2 linked regions of the Oryctolagus cuniculus genome follow. The protein of the gene in region 1 purifies or fractionates together with the protein of each later gene. This does not show direct contact. Links are inferred from orthologs where the notes say so. Each region holds a gene or a part of one and is shown on either strand. Other genes may lie near its edges.

Region 1 (3,907 bases):
CTTCAGGCCAGGGTGTTAACCCACTGCACCACAGCACCGGCCCCTCAAATAAATAAATCTTTTTTTTTTTTTTTTGGACAGGAAGAGTTAGACAGTGAGAGACACAGAAAAGTTTTCCTTTTTCCGTTGGTTTACCCCTCAATGGCCGCTAAGGACAGTGCATTACAGCCGGCGCACTGTGCCGATTCAAAGCCAGGAGCCAGGTACTTCTCCTGGTCTCCCATGTGGGTGCAGGGCCCAAGCACTTGGGCCATCCTCCACTGCACTCCCGGGCCACAGCAGAGAGCTGGACTGGAAGAGGGGCAACCGGGACAGAATCGCCGCCCCAACTGGGACTAGGACTAGAACTCGGGGTGCCGGCGCCACAGGCGGAGGATTAGCCTAGTGAGCCGCGGCTCCGGCCATAAATACATCTTAAAAAAAAAAAAGATCAGAAATGTGCTGGAGGTGTCACAACAGGCAGGAGACGCACGGGTTTGGAGCTCGTGAGAGAGAGAATACTGGACAGTTGCGGGGTGGACGCTGGGCTACACGGGGTCTTACAGGATGACTCTGGATTTTACTTCCGTGCCAGGAGAAGCAACGGGAAGGCTGTACACATTGCAGCGCCCTTCAAACAGAACACAAACTTCTTCCCTTGGCCCCTCGGCCCTTCATCACGGCGGGGTCTCTGCTCTCTCACCCGCCCTGCCACCCCCTGAACTCTGGCCTCACCTACAGAGCTCTGCTTCTGAGATACTCAGCACCCGCCCCACGTCCAGGCCCATTCTTAGCCGCCTCCCGACTTGCACCTACACGTCTTCTGCTGTGTTTCTCACCAGAGTACAAGGGCAGCGGCTGTCGCCTTGATGGACCCCAGCGCAGTCTGCCACAGCTGATGAGGAGCTGGCAGCCCGCCACTAAGGCGCCCAGCGGGAATCCCCGGCCAGGCTGTGTCAGCACCCACTAGGCTGCGTCCACATCTGCGGCCTCCCGCCTGGTCTCCACCGGGGGCACGATGAAGGCCTCTATGGAGGTTTCATCTAACTGATACGTCACAATTATACAAACTATGGGATAAACGCGTTTCCATTCGGTACAGGGCGGCGGGCAGGAAGTCTCCACTCACCAGAGCCGCTGAGCTCCTTCTGCAGGGCCCTCAGGCCCTCTCGGTTCTGATTCCTTTTGGTGTCCAGGTCCACAATCTGCAAAGCACAGGGACAGGGGCTCTCAGCTACCTCCTGCCCAAGCTGGCACATCCCGACAGACACGGGGCTGCTGACGTCTTTCCCCTCCTAAACACAACGCTGTGCCCAGGTGCCGCCCACCCCACAGGGGCTGGCAAATGTCTGCTAAGTGGGCGATTCTGCAGTAACTAAACCAGAATCACCAGGGGCATCTGACGCCTCCCCACACTCTGATTAAGCAGGCCTAAGCAGCTCGGGTGCTGGACAAAGTACTCCCGCTGACTCCGACTCGGTATGGTGAGAAAGCACCACGCTGGCTGCTAAGCAGTGAGGAGGCGGGGGTGCCCGGCTGGGCTGGCGAGCCGGAGCACAGCACACCGAGGACTCCTGCTGGGCACCGCGAGCTGGGCACTTTCATCTTCCTATGTGCTCCCCTGAACAACCGTCGGGAGCACCTGCCACTGTTCCTCTCGGCCCGCACGCCGGAGGCAGTACTCAGCCCGACTCCTCCCCAGGTCTTCCCTCTCTCGGTAAACACAGGACCAGCCACTCAAGCACTACCTGAAGACGACAGGGAGTCGCGGACCACTCAATTCCCACTTCCTCACCTGCCACTGCCTCCTGATCCATCCACTTCGCCAGCACCAAAACCTGGAGCGGCAAACGCCCCTCGCTGGTCTCCTGGCCTCCATCCTCGCCCTCCTATAATCCGCACAGCTGCGGGAATATCCTAAAGCCTAGGTCCAGCTTTTTACCCACCCCTTCCCCGTGAACTCTCTTTAGAAGCGTGGCACTTAAATCAGAACCCGACCCACGCCGCCTGGGCAGGCCTGCAGCGCCCTCAGCGACCAGGGCAGCCCCCGTGACCTCCTCTTTGCCCTTCTTCTCCCCTCGGGGCCTTGACCGGCCCAGCGCGGCCAGACTCGCGGCGAGGCGCGGGAACTGCCTTTTGAAACAGGTGCTCGAGAAACCGGCCCGAAGCGGTAATGGGTCAGGACCCGGAGGACACGCTACGGGGCAGACAGGGACGGAGCCAGACTGAACGCCCACTTAACGCCAGCCAGCGTCCGACTCACGTTACCACGGCCGCCCGCGCCTGTGGTGGCGGAGCTCAGGCCACCGGCCCGGGTCCATCCACGGGCCCCGCGCGCTGCCCTACGCGCTGGCCGCCGGGCCCCAGCGCCGCGGCCCGGCCTCCTACCTGCCGCTTGTCCGCCAGCACCTCCTCCGCGAGCTCCTCCACCTCCACCAGGTACTGAAGCACTCGCTCCGCCTCGGGGGACAGCATGGCACCCGGCAGCTACCACCGCAGTTCAAACGCCACCAGGTTCAAGCTCTGCTCCGGCGCCGATTCGACTCCTCCGCGCACGCGCCGTCCGGACAGGGCTTCCGGCGCGCCTGCGCAATCAAAAGAAGCACTGTGGCGCGCTGGCTCCGACGCACGCGCGTTGACGGAACGCCAGAGGCGGGGCCTCTCTTTGAGGAGCGCGTTTGGAGCGCCCCCTGCAGGCCCAAAGAACACAATCGGCAGAGAGCGCTGCCTCCTACCCTTCCCGGTCCTCCCCGCTACTAATATTTCCTATGCACCCACTAGATGCCAGGCAGTTGGCAGTGAATAAAGAAACTAGTGGGAAACACTGACAAATAATTATACGCCATGGTGGGTAGTGGTAAAGGCTTTGCAGAAGTGGAAGTCAAGCCCGTGTGGCAGTGGGACTTATGTTTAACCTGAGACACCGTCATCTTCCCGGTTATGAATAAAGAGGCCTAGGAATCCCCTCATGGTCTTCGGAGGAAGCAGTGAATTTTTTTTTGTTTGACCCGTGTTTGTTGAATCCCTCTGTTGGGTCCGATGTCCAGAGTTGCTGACCTAGACATAAAGGAGGGGCTGGAAACTATGGGCAGCGACCCTTGAAGCTCCAAGTCAGAAAAGAGGTCTGCATGCACTGGACAGTGAATTGGTGTTGGGTCATGGGATCCAGGAGGGCACCCAGAGGAGGCAGGTGGGTGCAAGTGGCTCCCAGCAGAACCAGGAGGCTCCCTAGGGCTCTTCATGCCCTTCCCCTTCATGGAATGGCTGGGAAATCAGGGAAGGAAGGACTTTGAAAAGTTAACAGCAGGGTCCGGCGTTGTGGCGTAGCAGGTAAAACTGCTGCCTGGAGTGCCGGCATCCCATATGGGCACTGGTTTGAGTCCTGGCTGCTCCACTTCCAACCCAGCTCTCTGGCCTGGGGAAGCAGAGGAAGATGGCCCAAGTCCTTGGGCCCCTGCACCTGCATGGGAGACCTGGAAGAAGCCGCTGGCTCCTGGCTTCAGATTGGCGCAGCTCCAGCCATTGCGACCAATTGGGGAGTGAACCATCAGATGGAAGACCTCTCTCTCTCTCTGTGTCTCTCCTTCTCTCTCTGTGTAACTGTGATTTTCAAATAAATAATAAATCAATCTCTTTAAAAAGCATTAACAGCAGACCTGATCTAGACTCTGACCTCCCTGCCTCCCTGAATCCAGTGTAACCTTTATTCAAGAAGCAGAGAGAGACAGAGGTAGGCAGACAGAGGTTCTCTCCCCAGATGCCTTAATGAGCCAGGGCTGGGTCAGGCCAAGGCGAGGAGCTGGGAGTTCACCCCAAGGACTTGAGCCGTCACTGCTGCCTTGCTTGGTCTGCATTAGCAGGAAGCTGGTGACTCCAGCCTTTTGTTCTTGGCTCTTGGCCCACCCTCTCGGCCCCTCTGCCTTTCCTG
Region 2 (2,975 bases), on another chromosome or scaffold:
ACAAGATTCCAAATAAATTGTGGTTAAATAAGCTTGCAGTTAGCAGTTACATATGCAGGGGCATGCCATGGGTTGAGCTGTGCAGACAGTATAAATACTGAAGGGCTCTGGAAGAGGAGCAGAGTGAACCTGAAGCAGAGCTCCCACCGAGGGTCTCCCCCGAGCAGAGAGAACAGAGTGAGGGTCTCCCCCGAGCAGAGAGAACAGAGTGAGGGTCTCCCCGAGCAGAGCAGCAAGGGTCTCCTCCTGGAGCAGAGAGAAGACAGCGAGGGTCTCCTCCCCTCAGCAGAGAGAACAGAGCGAGGGTCTCATCACCCCCCAGCAGAGAGAACAGAGCGAGGGTCTCCCCCCAGCAGAGAGAAGACAGCGAGGGTCTCCTCCCCCCCAGCAGCGCACAGGAGGGTCTCCTCCCCCCCAGCAGAGCGCACAGTGAGGGTCTCCCCCCAGCAGAGCACACAGCGAGGGTCCCCCCCCCAGCAGAGCGCACAGCGAGGGTCTCCCCCCAGCAGAGAGAAGACAGCGAGGGTCTCCTCCCCTGAGCAGTGCACAGCGAGGGTCTCCTCCCCCGAGCAGAGCACACAGTGAGGGTCTCCTCTTCGCCCACGAGGACTCTCTGGCCCCCGATGACTTCATCCACCGACGGACGATGTTCCTGGCACCCTGGCCCTGCCCTCAGGAGGGCTCGCTCTCTGCCACACCAGCGAAGACCCTAGGACACACAGCTCACATTCCTTGCCAGGAGTCCACCCTGGGGACCGGCACAGCTGGGCCAGCGCAGCCCTAGTCCCTCCAGCGGTGCCCGCACTGGGGGCTGCAGCACTTGTAGAAGGTGGTCATGGGCTCGTCTGCAGAGCGCGTCTGAAGCTGCATGAAGTAAGCACGAGGATGTTCGCACTTGGGACACGGCTCTGCAAAGGAGAAAAACCAACCAGGGAACCACATTACATAAAATGACGCTGGTGGGGCCAGCATGGCGGCACAGTGGGGGGCCACCGCCTGCGACACTGGCATCCTATGTGGGCGCTGGTTAGAGTCCCGGATGCTCCACTCCGGATCCAGCTCCCTGCTAGTGCAGGGCAAGAGCAGCAGAGGACGGCCCAAGTACCTGGGCACTGCCACCTGTGCAGGAGACCCAGGCACTGGCCTCAGCCTGGCCAGCCTTGGCCATCACAGACATCTGGGGAATTAACCAGCAGTTGGAGGGTCTCCTTCTCTCCTACCCTGTCATCTTGCCTTCCAAATAAATCTTATCTTTAAAAAAGAGTTATTTGTTTATTTGAAAGAGTTAGAGAGAAAAGGAGAGACAGACGTCCACCTGTTGGTTCATCCCCAAATGGCTACAACAGACAGGGCTGGGCCAGGCCAAAGCCAGGAGCTTCATCTGGGTCTCCCAAGTGGGAGCAGGGGCCCAAGGACCTGTGCCATCACCCGCAGCTTTTCTCAGGTCATTTGCAGGGAGCTGGAAGCGAAGTGAAGCAACTGAACTTGAACCGGCGCCCATCTGGGAAGCTGGTGCTGCAGGGGCAGCTTAACCTGCTGGGCCACAGCGCTGACCCCAAACAGATAAATCTTCACAAAAACGATGCTGGTGAGGGACACTTCGTAAGATCACTAAGGACACTACCAACAGAGGCTCCACTCCCACCAAGCTCGAACACTGAAGGGACAGGTGAACCTGTGCCCTGTGAAACACTCCTCCCGTCCTGGGACCCTGCGTCTCTCCCATCTGGCTGGAGACTGATTAGAGAAGTAACTTGGAAGGGGGCTATCTCCACGGTTGGTGCTGCTGTAACAAACTGCTGGAGACTGAGTAATGGGGAGAGGCTCAAACAGCTTTGAAGTAAGTACTGAAAAGCCTGTGTAAGAGAATTTCAAAGAGCTCATAGAAAATGAAACTAACAGTTTCCAGTCCATGCATAGTTTCTAAAAGATTTACGGATCTATTTGAAAGGCAGAGTGACCTCTGATGAAGGAAGAGAAAGAAGCCAAGTCTGATTAATATCAGACGCCCTGGTTAATATCAGACGCCTGTCTCCCTTCTCGTGCAATCCACAGGAATAATTTACCAACTACTGTTTAAATGCACGTTTTTCAGTAGCTCTAGAAACTTTTTTTTTTTTTTTTTTTGACAGGCAGAGTGGACAGTGAGAGAGAGAGACAGAGAGAAAGGTCTTCCTTTTGCCACTGGTTCACCCTCCCATGGCCGCCGCGGCCAGCGGTGCACCGCGCCTATCTGAAGGCAGGAGCCAGGTGCTTCTCCTGGTCTCCCATGGGGTGCAGGGCCCAAGCACCTGGGCCATCCTCCACTGCACTCCCGGGCCACAGCAGAGAGCTGGCCTGGAAGAAGGGCAACCGGGACAGAATCCGGCGCCCCAACCGGGACTAGAACCTGGTGTGCCGGTGCCGCTAGGTGGAGGATTAGCCTAGTGAGCCGCGGCACTGGCCAAGTGTAAATAATTTTTAAGAGGTGAAATCACTTGCTGGTTGTTTGTTTTTTGATACAACCAGAAAATAGTAGCATTATAATAATACAGACAGACAGACAGACAACACAGTCCATCATGGGAGGCTTCGGCTGTCGTGGCCGTCAGCTTGACACTCCACAGGTGGGGGTGGCTTTTATATCCTACAACACATACTAAACGGCAAAGGTGCATTTCATCTGTCCTGACAGAAAACCACCCGGCGTTGCTGTCAGACCACGTGTGCTCTGTCAATCTCTGGCTGTGGGGGTCCACTTTCCCTAGTGGTTTAGTTCACGTTTTTGAGTCTGTCACATACAGGATGTTACCCTGTAAAGGGCGGGATTTATGTCACATCAACGCTTGAAGATGCTGGTGCTTGATGGGAAGAGCTGCCTCCAAATTTGAAGCTGGAAATGACTGGAGTGACTTTTGAAAACAGAACGAAAATTCAGGCTTCCTAGATTCTGCCTTGCATGTTAAGAACTGTGTAAAAATGAAAATGTCTGCGTT

Evidence for each region.
Region 2: the proteins of PDRG1 (region 1) and POLR3K purify together in Homo sapiens (affinity purification with mass spectrometry; 3 studies listed by BioGRID and IntAct, with this or other methods). This does not show direct contact. The link is inferred for Oryctolagus cuniculus from reciprocal best matches to the Homo sapiens genes PDRG1 and POLR3K.

The regions. Positions count from the first base shown.
Region 1 is NC_091442.1:25,803,009-25,806,915, reverse strand, and holds the start of PDRG1 (p53 and DNA damage-regulated protein 1), read right to left. Parts: upstream 2,599-3,907; 5' UTR 2,455-2,598; coding exon 2,368-2,454; intron 1,185-2,367; coding exon 1,109-1,184; intron 1-1,108. UniProt on the Homo sapiens protein: May play a role in chaperone-mediated protein folding.
Region 2 is NC_091450.1:34,577,215-34,580,189, reverse strand, and holds the end of POLR3K (DNA-directed RNA polymerase III subunit RPC10), read right to left. Parts: intron 909-2,975; coding exon 781-908; downstream 1-780. UniProt on the Homo sapiens protein: Core component of RNA polymerase III (Pol III) which synthesizes small non-coding RNAs using the four ribonucleoside triphosphates as substrates. Can mediate Pol I proofreading of the nascent RNA transcript.